3 linked regions of the Macaca fascicularis genome follow. The protein of the gene in region 3 interacts with the protein of the main gene of each other region in a biochemical or structural test. Links are inferred from orthologs where the notes say so. Each region holds a gene or a part of one and is shown on either strand. Other genes may lie near its edges. The genes, in order: SH3GL2, SH3GL1 and DNM1.

Region 1 (5,144 bases), about 65 Mb from region 3:
AAGACGTATCTTTGTTCCTCCTTCATCTTCTGCCGTGATTGTGAGGCCTCCCCAGCCATGTGGAACTGCAAGTCCATTAAATCTCTTCTTTTATAAATTACTCAGTCTCGGGTATTTATTCATGGCAGTATGAAAATGGACTAATAGAAACTTAGTATATTTGATTACAAAACTATTCATGTTAGATTAGAAAATCTGGACTATTGGCCTCTTCACAAAATAATAGAAATGGCCCCTAATACACAAAGAACATGTTCATTTTCTTGGGAATTCAGAAAATACATATTCTGTGTGCCCTGCTGCTCCCCTATTCCCACCCACACCCAAACATATACATCAAGAGAATACTGGGTTTTTTTGGTTTGTTTGTTTGTTTGTTTTGAGACGGAGTCTCGCTCTGTCGCCCAGGCTGGAGTGCAGTGGCGGGATCTCAGCTCACTTCAAGCTCCGCCTCCCGGGTTCACGCCATTCTCCTGTCTCAGCCTCCTGAGTAGCTGGGACTACAGGCGCCCGCCACCTCGCCCAGCTAGTTTTTTGTATTTTTTAGTAGAGATGGGGTTTCACCGTGTTAGCCAGGATGGTCTCGATCTCCTGACCTCGTGATCCGCCCGTCTCGGCCTCCCAAAGTGCTGGGATTACAGGCTTGAGCCACCGCGCCTGGCCTGTTTTGTTTTTTGGAGGCAACGTCTCACTCTGTCACACAGACTGGAGTGCAATGGCATGATCTTGGCTCACTGCAACCTCTGCCTCCCAGGTTCAAGTGATTCTCGTGTCTCAGCCTTCTGAGTAGCTGGGATTACAGGCATGCGCCACCACACCCAGCTAAGTTTTGTATTTTTAGCAGAGACAAGATTTTTCCATGTTGGCCAGGCTGGTCTCAAACTCCTGACCTCAGTTGATCCACCTGCCTTGGCCTCTCAAAGTGCTGGGATTACAGGTGTGAGCCACTGCACCTGGCCTAATACTGGCTTTCGATCAAACTATATTTCCAGGTCTATTTCTTTATCTTCAATTATGAAATAAAATAAAAGGCTAGTTGAAGAGATATATTTTATTTCCCCTTCCTAACATTATATTCTTCAGATGATATCACTTTTAACAATATATCATTTAACATCTATGAGACGAAATTCTCCTTACTTTCTTCTCTCCCAAATTCTCCTCCTTCCTGGGGTTACCAGGAAGATCCCAATGTCCAGGCTAGCTACATCCTTGCTGCTGAAACTTTTCCTACATATAAAGAGATAGATATGAAGTTGGAACCAGGTCTTGTTTGGCTGCATGAGAAAGCAATGGAGACTGAAACCAGCCCCCATCCACCCATTGTTAGACCCAAAGAACTGACACAAAATGAAGAAGCAGAGCCTTTGGTTCTGTCTTCAGCAATATTTATTGGAAACAGCGATGCTTCCTGTGGTGAGAGTTTATACATTAAGCAGTAAGATTTGCCTTTCACTCCACATGATCCGCTACTGCAGGTGGCACATCGGAAGCAGCACGTTAAACCTCTGAAAGAGTCTGTACAGCTAGATAAATAGAACTCTGGATACCTAACAGGACTTTCATGACTGATACAAAACAAAAACAAAAACAAAAAAACACTGATAAGCTTACACACAGCACTGTATACACAAAATGAAGATTATGGATAGAAGGGGCAGAAGTAAAAGTAGCGACTGAATTGGGAAAGAGTTTTGCATATGCAGCCATATACCTTAAACTGCTAAGCACAAAAATCATCTTTATTTGGTCCTCATTGAGGGCAGAATCTGCACAAATGATGTTCAAAGAACACAGGGTAAAAGTGGAAAGGAAAGGTATTTACTGTTTCTCAGTCTATGAACTAGTGGAAAGATGGTTACTAGTGTTTTCCTCCTCGTGTCTCTGTGCCAAATGGATTCATGAAACATGTAATTCACAAATATAACTGAAGAGATTTGTTCCCCCTTCCCTGTGCCCTTCAGAAATAGCCTAAATACATACAGAGTTTCTGTACACCAAGAAATTTAAGCTTGGATACCAGATTTCTTCCCATTTCCTCATAATGGAGAATTTCTTTTCAGCCTCTCTCACAATAATGCTGATTAACTGTCTTACTGAAAAATAATTTGGAATTACCGCTCTGGCTTTAGTAGCAAGGAGGGAAGAAAACTGGCTATACCTCAGAAATAGCCATAAGTGTGAAGAGCTGAGATGCCTGTTTGCAGAGAATGCTTTGAACCCACAATTAACACTTTTCTAGGGATGCATTAAGAGACAAATTCATTCAGATCAGGAGACAATTTGCTGGTGAGGGAAGGCTTACTTTGACAATTCCATGACTCACATATTTGGGAAGGGACAGTGTGAAAGCAAAAACTTTCTCCTCTTTGCATGGAGAAATGCAAAAAGACCTTCAGATGCCCCCTGGGGTGATAGACAATATCTTCGGTGGGAAGGTTTTTCTGTGATGTGGCTCATGGTCATATTCTAAGAAACCACAGCCTCCTGAGAACTGTGTAAACAGCAGTTCTGTGACTACTGGCTGGTCTCAGATGATGTTTTAAAAAGCACATGCCATGCCCACCAGGCTAAGAGGATATCATCCATCACCATGACTCCTGTGGGAGCCCACAAGTCAACCAAATACACTTGGTGGGGCTGGATGACGTGGACCACTGCGGCCTGCACTTGGGATGTGTTATAAGCAGCATTACCAAAGCAGTGGTTAACCGTAACTATCTGAGTCAAGAGGAGGTGAGCCAGCCAGCATAACATCCTAATGGGGCAGGGCAACCAGAATTTCCACATAATTGATGGGGAAGAAGCCTGAATGGCCATGCAGCATCCCCTCATACCAGTTCTCATCAATTTGGTTAGTCAGTGTGATGATATCGCCCTCTTTAAATCCCAACTCCCCTTCATTTTCAGGTTCAAAGTCGTACAGAGCTCGGCAGCAGGGCTGATCCATTTGGACACCTGGGAGTAAGAGCAGGAGAGAAAAGAAGAACACACAAGGATAAGGGGTATTTAACTCACAGAATCTGCTGCCTGCTGCACCCACCTGGCTTGCTGCTCCCCGTCTTTCCTCCCTCATTCCTCTTCCTGTTGAAGCTTCTTCTTGCTACTGGACCTCAGTGTACACTCATTGGGCATCTTGCCCTCTACCAGTCCTCAGAAGCTTTCTCGGACCTTTGGAAGTTGCTGTTTATTCCTGTTTCTGTTTCCAGTATGAAAAACGGTCACAACTATTCTTGTGATACATACAACAGATTTCGTTAAAGTTTGCCTTTGTGATAATGCCCAGAAATAGGAGGGACAATGACTTAAAAAGAATATAATGATGTAGGTTAATAACACAGCATGGCCTGAATTGTCTCATGTGAGCACTTTAAAATCTTTGCATATTTGAAAAAGTATGGTTAATTACATGGAGAATGTTTTTGAGTAACAGTTTGGTTATCGCTGTTTAAAATGATAATCCCAGCCTCTGGAAAACTGCTGTAACGTGGTAACAACAGAATAATATAAAACACTGAGTTCAAGTTTTTACTTTCTGTGACCTTACACAGGGCACTTCACTCTCAGTTTCACTGTCTGAAATTGGATGTAACAGTAGGACTTACTTCACATTACTACTGTGGCTACTAAATGAGATTATGTAAAAAAAATTATATAATTTATACTTGGTAAACTGTTGCATATATAAATATAGGCAGTGCACTGGAGCTACGGCATACAAAAATAATGTACTCTACCTCGAGTAAAATAATGAAGGATGAAATCATATCTTAAGAGGGATCTATTCCAAATGACCCACTGCATTAGTATTAGATGCATACATATGTAGATACAGACTCAGACAAGTGCACACAGCTCCCATGCCATCTAGGTGGCTGGAAAGGAAACAATGATTTAGAGAAAGAAGCAAATGACTGAGTCTCCAGATGAAAAGTGAAATATATGGCTGGTCTGCAGGCAGGGAGAAGCACAGCTATACACAATTTCTATGACTAGTCCTGGTGGCCAGCATCAGTAGCCACAGCTGCTTATGCCATGCCCAGAAGTGCTGAGCACAAAGGGCAGAGAGCGCCACCTGCTGGCTCAGATCTTATTTTTTTTCTTAATAACTGAGAGCATCTTACAAACAGTTTTCTACCGTAGAACATCAAGCACTGGGGATACAGGAAAAATAAAAGAAAGCTGTCTATCTCTAACATCCACATCCAGTATAAGACAGTTCCCACTTCAAACAAGCAAATGTGGAGGTTGAAAATGTCTCCAGCACAGGCTGTTGTGTAATCTGCATGTAGGGAGTGGAGAGCAAGCGTGACAAGGAAAAGAATGCTCTATTAGGTATGCATCGATATTCCTGAGATAAAATATCATCTAGCTTTTATTATATCAACCCCAGTGCCACAGCATGATAAAGTGATCAGAGGTGAGGCACGGGAAAGAAAACCCAGCAAGTGTCGAGTTTCAAAATATCTTCTGCAAATATATTTAACCATATGCTTCTGTGACTCAAGAAATCCAGCTCATCAGCACATTTCTGGAGCCGCTTGCCGTCTGTGGGCTCTATGTGAATGCATATGGGGACACACTGTCCAGGGGCATTCATTGTCATACAGGCTGGATTCAGAGGGAACAGGAAGGAGAAAAGATGACACACGCAGACCAAACTGACAAGGAAAGGCAATTTACGACCACAAAGGAGGGTCAAAATAAAATGTGTTCATGTGTGCTGATGATTGAGAGAGAAAGGGATATACAAATAAAGTTTTATACAGAATTAAAAGGAAGGAAAGAAAAGGTAAATGAAAAAAGACAAAAGGATTCCTTTAACACAGTTTCTACCTGACAAACCACTCCATAAGAAATCTATTACTGCATATTTCCTATGCAGCCAGATTGGATTATTCCTAAAATTTCTGGAAGAGTGCCAATGCATGTGCCAAGGCCTATGCAATAGGATCTGCCGTCTCAGCTCCTTACCTGAAGGCTTGGGAGTGCCTGTGTGGGAGAGGCCCCCATTGGGCTGAGTACTGTCTCCAGTTGGAAACTCCAGGCTCATTCGTGGTTTAGGTTGATATTCCCTTCTAGGCTGAGCTGAGGCCTGTCTTATTCTGCAGGAAAAAGAAAAGAGGTGGGAAAGGTTATGTGGC
Region 2 (6,583 bases), on a different chromosome or scaffold from region 3:
AATTCTTGGGGGGCAGTGGGGAGCCCTGGGCACAGGAGGATGTTGAGCAGCATCCCTGACTTCTACCTACTAGTAGCCAGCAGCACCTCACCAAGCTGTGACAACCAAAAAGATCCCAGACATTGTCAATGTCCCCTGGAAGACAGAAGTGACCCTGTTTTATAGAAAGATAAACATCCCCAAATCCTTTTGTGTAAAAGGGGGAATGTTTTTACCCTTAGGCCGGATAAGCAAGACCAGCTGAGACCTACTGGTATAAAGCATACCGCCCGTTCACATGGTGAGAATGCAGTAAATGTTCACACCACTAGGTAAGGAGACATCCCGAGAGATGTCACTTTTCAACAGGCACAGGAGAGGGTGAAAGAGTTGTTATTATACTAAAAACAAAAAAAGAAACACAAATAGTTGGATATGTCCAGATAACAGCTGAGATGTCAGAGGGAACCATGGCAATGATCGCAGAAGAGCAAGGAACGCAGTCAGGGCGACTTCTAAGAGCATGACTCGAGACAGAATTGACCAGGAGGCCAAGACGACAGCCCTGACGGTGGGCTGTGGCCATCGTGCTTTGGGACTAGGCCTCAGGATGTGGAAACAGGCAATCCTAAGCCCAGCTAACACCACACTGTGCTTTCCAGGCTTCAAGGCGCCATTCACAGATCTGAATGCAGGTCATCCTGCTTCCCTCGAGAGAGACAAAGTCCTGGTGGCTGGCGTGAGAGGCCTGGCTCGTTCCTCCAAAGAGGGTGTCAGCTCAGGACAACATGGGCACAGACCCTGATCGCTGGGGGTGGAGGAGGGGGTGGCTTCCAGAAACCTGTCTATGGCACGGAACAAAGTGGCCCAGGAATTCCTCTGAGACCTCTGAGAACATCTTTCCTGCTAGGAAGCAGCGCTCTACGATGCTCTAATCCGCAGGTGAGGGTCTGACGCCTGCTGGGCAAGGTCTAACCCAGGGCCAGGCCATCTGATTTCAAACTGCTGGGGCAAGGGGGTGGGGCTATTCTCAGCGACAATCCTAAAATTCATCCGGATTAAATCTTTCTCCAGGGTTTAACCATCACCTGGGGTCTAGAGATAGACCCTAAGTATCTATATCCCTAGACAACCACTAGGGTTGTTACTTTATTTTTTGAGACAGGGTCTCACTTTGTTGTCCAGGCTGGAGTGCAGCAGCACGATCATAGTTCACTGTAGCCTTGCACTGCTGGGCTCCAGTGGTCCTCCCCCCTCAGCCTCCCAAGTAGCTGGGACTACAGGTGCACATCACCACACCTGGCTAACTTTTCGATATTTTGTAGGGATGAGATCTCCCTATATTGCCCAGGCTGGTCTTGAACTCCTGAACTCAAGGGAACCCCTGCCTCAGCCTCCAAAGTGCTGGGATTACAGGCATGAACCACAGCACCTGGCAGGGTCCTTACTTTTTTCTTTCCAGGGACAAAAGGTACCAGCTGGGTGTTACTGGGGACTTGTTTCTCTTTGCTCCCACTGGGCCTCTCCAAACTGTGGGCAGAGAACCCTGTTTGCCACCTCGGCCCAAGCATTTGCTAAGATCATTGCTCAGGCCGGGCGCAGTGGCTCCTGCCTGTAATCCCAGCACTTTGGAGGCTGAGGCGGGCAGATCACAAGGTCAAGAGATCAAGACCATCCTAGCTAATATGGTGAAACCCCGTCTCTACTAAAAATACAAAAAATTAGCCAGGTGTGGTAGCCGGCACCTGTAGTCCCAGCTACAAGGGAGGCTGAGGCAGGAGAATTGTGTGTACCCGGGAGACAGAGCTTCCAGTGAGCCAAGATTGCTCCACTGCACTCCAGCCTGAGCGACAGAGTGACTCCATCTCAAAAAAAAAAAAAAAAAAACACATCATTGCTCATTCCTCGGTGGACTCTATCCACACAAATTCCACACAACCTCACCCTGCAGTGCATGGACCAATAGGATTCAACAATCTGAGGCTTTTTTTTTTTTTTTTCCAAGACGGAGTCTCGCTCTGTCACCCAGACTGGAGTGCAGTGGCGCAATCTTGGCTCACTGCAACCTCTACCTCCTGGATTCAAGAGATTCTCCTGTCTCAGCCTCCTTAGTAGCCGGGGTTACAGGCAAAAATACAAAATTTTTGTACTGTTAGTAGAGATGGGGTTTTGCCATGTTGCCCAGGCTGCTCTCAAACTCCTGGCTTCAAGTGATTCTCCCACCTCGGCCTCCCAAAAGTGCTGGGATTACAGGTGTGAGCCACCGTGCCCAGACAAATTTGAGGCTTGCTAGATTTGAAGTTGCAAAGTGAAAATTTTAAGTGTGCCCAGTTTTACGGAGAGTGGATCCACAGCTTTCACCACATTCATGGGCAATGGGTCCTGGACTTTCCAAAAAACCCTTTATCTGTCCAAATCAAATGCACTTAGGCTGGGATGCAACATTCTACTTCCGGGAATTCATCCTATAAAACGAATCCCACTGGTGAGCAAAGATATTCACTGGCTATTCATTGTAGTAATGGTAGCAGAAAATTCCGGTAAACAGAAATATCTATCAACTGACAACTGGTTAAATAAATTATGGTACACCTAATGGAATGAAATACAATGTACCCATTAAAAAGATCCAAGTAGGCCAAGCACAGTCGCTCACACCTGTAATCCCAGCACGTTGGGAGGCCGAGGCAGGCGGATCACTTGAGGCCAGGAGTTCGAGACCAGCCTGGGCCAAATGGAGAAACCCTGTCTCTGCTAAAATTACAAAAAGTAGCCGGGTGCGGTGGCACATGCCTGTAGTTCCAGCTACCAGGGAGGCTGAGGCAGGAGAATTGCTTGAACCCAGGAGGTGGAGCTTGCAGTAAGCTGAGATTGCACCATTGCACTCCAGCTGGGCCGACAGAGAGTGACTCCGTCTCAAAAAAAAAAAAAAAAAAAATCCAACAAGTGTGGAGTATGGTCTAGTGCAGTAGTCCTGGGGGACAGGGAAGGAAGGGAGGAAGGAAAGAAGAGAAGGAAGGAAGGGAGAGAGACAGGGAGGGAGGAAAGGAGGAAGGAAGGAAGGAAAGTAGAGAGGGAAGGAGATTGATTCTATTCCTCAGGGGACACAGGGTGATGTCTCAAGATATTTTTGGTTGTCACGACTTGGGGGTGCTCCCGGCCTGGAGAGGGTGGAGGCCAGGGCGCTGCTCAGCACCCCGCAGTGTCCAGGATGGCCCCACCACGGAGAACAATCCGGCCCCAGATGTCAACAGTGCTGACGGAGGGGTAGAAATCTCGCTCCAGTGTGACCTCCAAGTAATGAAAACCACAGCACACAGGATTCTGTGGCAAATGCTATCAGTGTACGTGTTTTTAAAGGAAAGGCACACACGTATCTTACGAAAGGGACATACGGAGTCGATGACAGTCCCTGTCTCTGGGGAGAGAGACGGGGCTGGCTGCCCGAGGAGCAGAGAGGGGAAACTGACTTCTCCCTCTACCTTTTCAACTTTGTACCTTGCCCATCCGGAGGATTTTGAACAGAACTGCTCTAGAAGCAATTTTCCCTGGCTCTGGGTTATCTGGCAAGAATCCTGTGTCGACAGCCTCGGGACTCCTCTCTTCCCCTTCTCTCCCCGCACCCCGCCTTTGCAGGGGAGGGGAGGAGGGGTGAGGTCCGCGTCCCTGGGCAGCCCCTGGGTGCCTCTCCCCTCCTCCCAGGGGTTCTGTCCCCGCTTCTGGAGCCCGCATGGCGGGCAGGGCCTGAGCCACCTCATCGCCCCCGTCCGTGCCTTGCTCTTCCCACCCGGCGGGGGACACGCACCAACGTCCCTACCTCGGTCCCTCCGGCCCCCTCCCGAGCCAGGTCGGGCCTGGCCCCCTCATCCGGGCAGCCTGGGGCCCAGGACTCGGCCCCTGCCTGGGCCTGAGCTCACCTGGCTCGCCTTGTAGAACTGCTTCTTCAGCCCCGCCACCGACATGCTGCCGCCTGCCGCCGAGCCTCCCGCCCGGACCGCGCCAGCGACAGGCTCCCGGGCGCCGCCGACCCTCTGCGCGCCTCAGCAGCCCCCGTCGGCGCCGCCTCCGCCAGCCGCTTGCCAGCTCCGCGCCCGCCCCGGCGCCGCCTCAGCCGCTCGCGCGCCCGCGCGGCCAGGATATTACATGGCAACCGCACGCTTCCGGTGCCGGCCCCCGCGCGCGCCCCCGGCCCCGTCTGCGCACGCGCGCCCTCTGCCGGCTGGAGAGCGCACGTGCACGTTGTCTGCCGCGGGAGACACCGCCTCTGTCAGTGAGTTGAGCGGGGGGAGCCTAGAGGGGCCGTAGCAGGTTCAGCGCCCTCTGGAGTCCCGGAGGTGACCCTAACGTCTTGGGAAAGGCGCTTAGTTTAAACCTGGCCAGGGAGGTTGGGAAGTAGAAGGGGCCTCTGCCTGGTTACGATTCTCCAGATTCCTGTTTGCTCATCTTAGCTAAATCTAAATCCAGTTCCTCTAAGTGTTCAGGCTCCCTCCCCTTCTTTCTTTTTTTTTTTTTTTTGCTTTTTTTCTGAGACGGAGTCTTGCTTTGTCGCCCAAGCTGGAGTACAGTGGCGTGATCTCGGTTCACTGCAACCTCCGCCTCCCGAGTTCAAGCGGTTCTCCTGCCTCAGCCCCCCGAGTAGCTGGGATTACAGGCGAGCACCACCACGCTCGGCTAATTTTTGTATTTTTAGTAGAGACAGGGTTTCGCCACGTTGGCCACGCTGGTCTCGAACTCCTGACCTCAGGTGATCCACCCTCTCCTCCCCTAGCCTCCCAAAGTATTGGGATCACAGGTATGAGACACCGTGCCTGGCCACCTCTCTTCCTCTCTCTCTGTCCTGTGTTCATCCATTCAGTTGCCCACGTGACACATGGAGACATCTAGGTCTGGCTTCATGCCCTGGCATGGCGGCCAGAAAGATGCTTCTAGAATGCAATTCAGGGTCGGGCGCAGTGGCTCACGCCTGTAGTCCCAGCAGTGAGGGAGGCAGAGACGGGTGGATCACGAGGTCAGGAGTTCAAGACAAGCCTGGACAACATGGTGAAACCCCGTTTCTACAAAAAAAAAAAAAAAACAAAACACACACATACACACACAAATTAGCTGGGCGTGTTGGCGCACTCCTGTAATCCTAGCTACTCAGGAGGCTGAGGCAGGAGAATCGCTTGAACCTGGGAGGCGGAGGCTGCGGTGAGCAGAGATCGCACCACTGCACTCCAGCGTGGGCGATGGAGTGAGACTCCATCTAAAGAAAAAAAGAGTGCAATTCAGATCACACCAGTCCCCTGTTTTAATTCGGCCTACCACCCTTAGGATACACTCCAGACTTCCTAACATATTTTACAAAGCCTGCATAATTTGGCCCCATCAACTCTCTCTGTCTCTGTTTTCTTTCTTTCCTTTTTTTTTTTTTTTTTGAGATGGAGTCTTGCTCTGTCGCCCAGGCTGGAGTGCAGTGGCACAATCTCAGCTCACTGCAAGCTCCAGCTCCCAGGTTTATGCCATTCTCCTGCCTCTGGGAGAATGTAGCTGGGACTACAGGTGCCGGCCACTTTGCCTGGCTAATTTTTTTGTATTTTTAGTAGAGACGGGGTTTCACCATGTTAGCCAGGATGGTCTCGATCTTCTGACCTCGTGATCCGCCTGTCTCAGCCTCCCAGAGTGCTGGGATTACAGGCGTGAGCCGCCGTTCCCAGTCCCCATAGATTCTTCTCAACTATTCTTTCTTCCTCTTCTATAATTCATAATCCTTGCTGTCTATGAGACTCTGCTAACATCGTTTCCCTCTTCTACATTATTCCTGAGTCTTTCCTCCACCCTTTGTACCTAAAGAGGACGCTGTGTGGTGTGTCGCCTCTTCCAGGAAGACTTCCCAGGTTGACACCTGGTTATTGATATGGATTTTTGTATCAACCGTTATTGATAAAAATGTACAAAATGAATTGGAAATAATTAATTGGAATGACTAAATGAATCAAAAAAGAGAAACTAGAAAATGACTACAGTTAAAAAGCTTGGTACTTAAAAGTGTTGAAATCGCTGAGAGATTTTGTTGATTTTTTGAAGCAGAAGATTGCTGGAAGTTTCCAAAAGCCTCAAAAGAAAGTAGTAGACTAGGCCAGGCGCAGTGGCTCACGCCTGTTATCCCAGCACTTTGGGAGGCCAAAACGGGCGGATCACGAGGTCAGGAGATCGAGACCATCTTGGCTAACACAGTGAAACCCCGTCTCTACTAAAAATACAAAAATTAGCCAGGTGTGGTGGTGGATACCTGTAGTCCCAGCTACTTGGGAGGCTGAGGCAGGAGAATGGCGTGAACCTGGGATGCGGAGCTTGCAGTGAGCCGAGATCACGCCACTGCACTCCAGCCTGGGCTACAAAGCGAGACTCTGTCTCAAAAAAAAAAAAAAAAGGTAATAGACTAGGTCAATCAGGGGGTTATTTCAGAATATATACACCCTAACCTCACTTCCCAAGATTTTTATGAGGCTATTAGGAATACTTTGAAAGAGCTTATTGATGTGCTCTGATAAGCTCTGATAAGAGCTTGTTCATATGCCCTTAACTGTGATCCACCGCTGTAAATCAATGAAAAATGCCAGAA
Region 3 (6,417 bases):
AGGCCCTGCCCCGAGTGCTTCCTGGGGATTGTCTCAACACTCACCATAATCTCACAAGGGCTGTGCTATTATTATCCCCATTTTACAGATGAGGAAATAGCAACTGGGCAGGGTTTGGGGAACATGGCCAGGGATTCTCTGCTTGTAAGTGGCAGAGTTGAGCTTCAAACTCAGCAGGTCTGACTTCACAGCATGCTCTCGGCTCCTCTGCCACATTCCCACCGGACTTGGCCTGTCCAGGGACAACCCACTCTTGGCCCTACAGGAGCATTGGGGTGGGGGGTGTAGCGGGGCGGGGGTGATAAAGAGGAGCTGGAGGGACAGCAAGGAGGCCCCTTTGGCCTAGGGCACCAGGCATCTGTTCATGAAAGGCTGGCGGGTGCTGGGTCCACAAACACTCCCCCGTCTACACTTACCCCCAGGATGAGCTCATCTACTCTCGGGTTTAAATCCCATCTCTACACCAACGACTTCCAAATTTTTATTTCCAGCCCGCCTTCCCCCTGAGCTCCCGACTTGCATCACCAAACTGCCAGTTGACATCTTCCCCTCAGAAGTCTAACAGGCATCTCAGGCTCAATATGTTCAGAACCAAACGCTGGTCTTCCCCCGTCCCCCCAGTCTGCTCCTCCTTACTCTTCCCGACTCTGTTAATGGCACCAACACCCACCCAGGAGCTCAGGTCAAAATCCCAGATGTCATCATTGATTCCTCCTTCCTCACCCTCCACATTCATCCTCCAGCAGGACTTCCTCCAAAATATATCCTGAAACCTACCCACCGTTCTCCTTCTCGTTGCAGCTAAAGCCCTCGTTCGGGACCTCCACTGCCCTCTGCCCACTGCAGCAGCCTCCGCACCAGTCTCCTGCCTTTTCCCTCACCCCCTCCCCAAGTCACACCCTTGCTAGAATCAGCTCAAGTCAATCCACTACTAAAAAGCTTCCCACAAGAGAGAAAATAAACCCAAACTCCTCACTCCTCGTGGCCTAAGGGCTTTGTAGATCTAGCCCCTGCCTGTCTCTCAGGTCCTGTCTCCCCCTTGCTAGCCAAACACCAGCTACAGGGGGTCCTTTCTGTTCCTCAAAGGCACCAAATTCTTTGCTACCCCAGGGCCTTTGCACCTTTCCCTCGGCCCGGAACTCTCCCACCCCGGCAAGTTACACAGCTTCTCATCCCTCGGTTCTCATCTCAGATGCCACCTCCTCCCGGAGACTTCTGACCTCCCTTGGGAGAGCAGCCCCGCTCCCCTCCCTGACGTTGACCACATTTTCCAGTTGTCTTCTAAGTTTCTCCCTCTGCAATGCAGAGCCTTGGTCTTTTCCACCATAGTGCCAAGACATCGTGCACCCTCCACAAATGTTTACTAAATGACTGAATGAATTAGCCTCAGTTTTCCCTTCTGTAAAAGGGAAGGGGGTGAAGAAACAGTATAGACCTAGACAAGTTCTAGCAGCATCCCGGGCAGCTGCAACGCTACCTCCATTGCAGAGCTGACAGCAAGATCCTTCTGAGCGCCCAGAAGCCCAGGTGGACCTGGGACAGCCCTGATGCATTTTCCTTTGAAGCATTTTCCGTGGGGGATTGGCTCCTGGGAAGCCCCAGGAGACAGAATGGCTGTTACTATGCTCACCAGGCTGGGGACTGAGCCCTGTTGGAGAGGTCAGGAGCCCTTGAAGGAGCTGTCAGGCTGAGATGGTGGAACCCACTGAGCCTCAGTTTCCCTGGCCTTCTCACTAGCTTTCAGGGGATCATGAATGCTTTCCTGCCTACTCCTTCACATCAACCTAAGCCCCCTCCCCTGCCCTGAGCCTGCATCTGGACACCCTGCACATCCTCCTGTGGGGACCTGGCCAAGGGCATTGGGGTGCAGAGGGCAGCCAGAGGGCCCAGGCCTCCTGGGGTACAGTCCACACCCTGCTCCGCCACTCAGCCAGCAAGTACTTGCTGAAATCTGCCGTGGTCAGGGCTGGCCCCTGCATCATGGGCTCCAGGAGGGCAGGGGCTGGACATGCAGGTCCCCAAGCCTAATTGGCTATCAACGCCCTGTCCCGCATATTTACAAAAGAACCTTTCCACCCATGAACTCAGTGGAGCCCACAGTCACCTTCTCAGGAAGGCAGGGCAGTGGCTGTCAGCGTTCCCATTCCACAGATGGGGAAATGGAGGCCCACCCACCCGCTTGTCCCTGTGTCTGGTGCAGGATCCGGCTCTCAGAGGATGTGCAGCGTCGAGATTAGGAACTGGGCTTTGGAGTCTAACAGCTGCTGCCCTTCCTGAATGTGTGACCTTGGGCAAGGCATTTAACCTCCAGGGTCTCAGTTTCCTCATCTGTAGGATGGGCATCATGGTGCCTGCCTCTTGGGAGCTCCTGTGAGCCTATGACTGATTCAGCATAGGGGGTACATAGGATGGACTCAGTAGACGGGGGCTGAAATCACCAGTTGGTTCCCTCCCTACCCCAAGCCTGGAGCACGCAGCCTGGCGTGGGGCAGGAATTCAGCCAACATTCAAAGGAGGAGAGGTAGGAATATGGTTTCTCCACTCTAAACTGTTGGCTGTCCCTGACTGCCGGCCCTTGGGGAAGGGGCTCATTGTGTGTCTCTTGCCTGGGTCTCTGCAGCTCTGGGGGTCATGTGATCAGAAGGGGGGTTCTGCAGGAGCCATCGGAGAGACAGATGCCTCCCCCTCTGCTGACCAGATGGGCACGGCCGCCTCCACGGTGGCATTCCAACATCCCACACATACGTGGCTCCAGTCAGGCCCTCTCCCTCTCACCTCTAGGGCTGGCATGGGTTTCCCAGGACATTTGAGGGGCAGGAACAACCATCTAGTCCCACTGTCCATGTTAGAGATGGGGACACTAAGGCTCAGAGAGGGCAAGTGACTTGCCTGAGGTTTTGCAGCAGAACCTGGCTTGGACAGAATTGCTGTCCCTCTGCGGAGAAGGACCCCTGCCTCCCTCTCCCATGTGCCAGTCACTTTTTTGGCCCTGAAGGTCATTGGAAGAAAGCAAGGGTTTCTGAAGAAGATGGGGGGGAGATGAAAGAGGGGGTCAGTGTAAACTCTCTCACTTCGTCTCCCAGTCTGCCCAGCCCCCCATCTCACCTCCAGTACCTGGAGAGCTCCTATCTTTCCTCTCTGTCCTCAGCACCAGAAAAACTGTTTCTTCCTCCCCCTGGGGGTTTGGGGAGAGCCTGGGGGTCACGACCCTCCCTGCCCCCGTAATCCCAGGACCCTTTGTCTTTGTGGTTGCTCCCCTCTCCGCCACCTAGGCCTCCCAGCGCCTTGTGGGATCAGAGGCGGGAGGGGGATTAGGTTCTGCAAATGGCTCCCCCCTCCCGCCATCCCGGTCTTAGTCATCTCTGCCCTCTGCCGCCTCTCCCTCCATCACGATCCCTCTGGCCAGGCCAAGGGGACGGCGACACTGAGAGGCGCCCCCCACCCAGGGGCCGTGGCGAAGCAAGGGGCCGGCTGCTCAGAGAAGGATAAGAAGTGGTTTCTCCTCCCCTCTTCCCTTCCTCATCCTGCAGCCCGCGCCTCCCCCTCTCCGCCGCGCTGCGCACGGATGGCGGCGGGAGCCGCAGAGGTGTGTGTGTGCCGGGGGGAGGCCGTACCGGGTCCTCGATGCCCACGGGACTACGTCCTCTTTTAGGGACTGGGGTGGGGGTCTGACCCCTGCCACGGCCCAGGAATTCCCATGGGGGTAGGAGGATGTCCCCCATAGAGTCCGGTGGGGGGGCCGCTGCCCCCGGGTGCTGCCCGCTCCAAGGGACTCCCGGAGCCCAACGGAGGCGCTGAGTAATGCGGGCTCTCTCCATGCCCATGTTGGGGGCGGGGGGCAGCCCTTTGGCCAGGGCTTCTGTCAGAGGGTTGTCTGCCCTAAAGGATGGGACGGAGGAGGGGGCGTGATTCGGCAGCCGGAGGCTTGACGACGTTTGCAGACTAGCGGGCGGCGCTGCTGCCCGGAGGGGCTCTCGAGGTGGGGAGGGCCGCCTCGCTCCGGCTGGGGGTGGGGGGCGCGCCGGCCGCGGGTGCAGCGTCGGGGGCTGCGAGGTCGCCGCGCCGTCGGTGCCCCGGGCAGGGACTCCGGGGATCCTGGGGGTCGGGGGTCGGCGCCTGGGGGCGCGCCGCGCCTACCTGCCTACGAAATTCTCGAGCACCGAGCTCTTGCCGGCGCTCTGGCCGCCCACCACGGCGATCTGCGGCAGGTCGAGGTCCGCGTTCTGGCCGATGGCAGAGAAGGCGTCTTGCAGCCGGTTGACCAGCGGGATGAGATCTTCCATGCCGCGGTTGCCCATGGCTGCGGCGGGCCCCGCAGGCTGCGATCCGGCTGCCGCTCGCGCTCCCGGCTCCGACTCCGGCTCCGCCGCTGCAGCCTCGCGCCCCGACTGCCTGAGCCGCGCGGCCCCCGCCCCTCGGGGATCGGAGCGAGCACCGCTCCGGGAAGCCGCTAGGGGGAGCCCGCGACGCTGCGGGCCGGCCGCCGTGCGCAGGCGCCGCCCGGGGCACCATGGGTGTCGTAGTTTTAACCTTCTGCGGCTTTCGGGGTGCTTTAGCAGTGTCTAGGGTGCGCGGACGGATGCTGCGCAGAATATATTTGTCAATGGGTGGGGTCTCACTCCTAGTACCAGGCCTCTTGGATAGTGGTCATGGATGTTTCACTCTATCTTACCGATGAGGAAACTGAGGCCTGGAGAGTAGATGGGCTTCCTCTGAGGTCACAGCTTCCTGACCTGGAGTTCCCCTTCACCTCGCTGCCTTCGACCCCTAGATCCTGACTCTGATCTCCAACATGTCCCTTTCTGCCTTTGGTCCTCAGTTTCCTTGTTTCTAGAAGGAGAAAGTTGGAGCATGAATTCAACAAATATTTACTAGGTACCTGCTAGAAGCCAGGCCCTGTCCTAGGCACGGAAGATTGAGCAACGAATAAGACAGCCAAGGCCTCTGCCCTCATAGATCTTGCATCAAGCTGGTGAGATCGACACTAAATGGATAAGCAGATACACAAAACAGTAAAAATGAAAATAGTTTATAGTAACAGGGATGGAGGAAATAAACAGTGTGAAAAAAAGGTATCATTGTGGGTGTGGAAAGTTCACATTGACTTGGGAGGAGTCGGGGGACTTCTCTGCAGAAGTGACATTTAAGAAGAGACCAGAACGATGACAAGGAGCCAGCAGCAAGCAGATCGGGGGAAGAGCATGCCAGGCTGAATGACCAGCAAGTGCAGAGGCCCTGATGCCTGAAAGGCCCTTCTTGGGAGAATTGGAAGCTCTTGCCCTAGAGTTGGAAGTCTTTGCTCCAGCCCATTAGGATGGTGGTAAAACAGCATAAAACGGTGGGATTCGGCCGGGCGAGGTGGCTCACCCCTGTAATCCCAGCACTTTGGGAGGCCGAGGCGGGCAGATCACGAGGTCGGGAGATCACCTGGCTAACACGGCGAAACCCCATCTCTACTAAAAATACAAAAAATTAGCTGGGCGTGGTGGCGGACGTCTGTGGTCCCAGCTACTCAGGAGGCTGAGGCAGGAGAATGGCATGAACCCGGGAGGCGGAGCTTGCAGTGAGCCGAGATCGCGCCACTGCACTCCAGCCTGGGCGACAGAGCGAGACTCCGTCTCACAAAAAAAAAAAAAAAAAAAAAAGCAGTGGGATTCAAATCCAAGCCTCCTACAATCCTGCCCTGCTTACCCTTTCACACGGAGAGACCATGGGGCCCTGAGCCCAGCCATCCACCTCTGCATTTAAGAAACCTAATTAGTATTCATGGCGGAGGCTAGGAAGGGAAGGCTAGCCTACACTGTGCTTATGGGGAGTCAGTGAGTCATTTCCCTGTGCTGTGAACAGTGTGGGGGCACTGCTGACAAAGTGGTCTGTGAATTGAAGACTGTTCACTTACTCATCCATTTAATGCGGATTTGTTGAGCCAGGTACTATGCTAGACTCCAGAGATAAAGCAGTGAGCAAAATGGACAAAGTTCTTACCCACATGTGGCTGACAATTCAGTGGAAAAAGACAGACAATATGGAAATAGGGCAATACCGATGGCCCTGTTAGATGATGTGCCCTGCAGAGCCAGAAAGCAGGGGCGGGGTAGGGTGGTGTTGCTATTGTGAAGACGGTGATCAGAGAGTGACCCTTGTGGGGAGGAATCTTCGAGGCAGGCATGGGGAACAAGCAGGCCCTCTCCCTAGTAGCACAAGGGAGTGGATTAGGAGCCTAATCTGGGCCTTAAACAAGCTGCATGACCCAGGTCCCTCCACGTCTCTGAACCTCAGTTAACTAATCTGGATAATGGGGATAATAATAGATCAAATGCCTGTGTAGGGCACAGCCCAGGCCTGGTGCTCAGGGGACCCTTATTTTTTTTTTTTTTTGAGACGGAGTCTCGCTGTGTCGCCCAGGCTGGAGTGCAG

Evidence for each region.
Region 1: the proteins of DNM1 (region 3) and SH3GL2 form a complex in vitro, tested with the Homo sapiens proteins (2 studies listed by BioGRID and IntAct, with this or other methods). The link is inferred for Macaca fascicularis from reciprocal best matches to the Homo sapiens genes DNM1 and SH3GL2.
Region 2: the proteins of DNM1 (region 3) and SH3GL1 form a complex in vitro, tested with the Homo sapiens proteins (2 studies listed by BioGRID and IntAct, with this or other methods). The link is inferred for Macaca fascicularis from reciprocal best matches to the Homo sapiens genes DNM1 and SH3GL1.

What each region holds. Positions count from the first base shown.
Region 1 is NC_088389.1:81,060,181-81,065,324, forward strand, and holds the end of SH3GL2 (endophilin-A1), read right to left. Parts: intron 5,106-5,144; coding exon 4,975-5,105; intron 2,959-4,974; coding exon 2,759-2,958; 3' UTR 1,372-2,758; downstream 1-1,371. UniProt on the Homo sapiens protein: Implicated in synaptic vesicle endocytosis. May recruit other proteins to membranes with high curvature. Required for BDNF-dependent dendrite outgrowth.
Region 2 is NC_088393.1:5,135,155-5,141,737, forward strand, and holds the start of SH3GL1 (endophilin-A2), read right to left. Parts: upstream 4,089-6,583; 5' UTR 3,942-4,088; coding exon 3,897-3,941; intron 1-3,896. UniProt on the Homo sapiens protein: Implicated in endocytosis. May recruit other proteins to membranes with high curvature.
Region 3 is NC_088389.1:15,776,019-15,782,435, forward strand, and holds the start of DNM1 (dynamin-1), read right to left. Parts: upstream 4,391-6,417; 5' UTR 4,299-4,390; coding exon 4,138-4,298; intron 3,587-4,137; exon of another isoform or gene 3,314-3,586; intron 1-3,313. UniProt on the Homo sapiens protein: Catalyzes the hydrolysis of GTP and utilizes this energy to mediate vesicle scission and participates in many forms of endocytosis, such as clathrin-mediated endocytosis or synaptic vesicle endocytosis as well as rapid endocytosis (RE).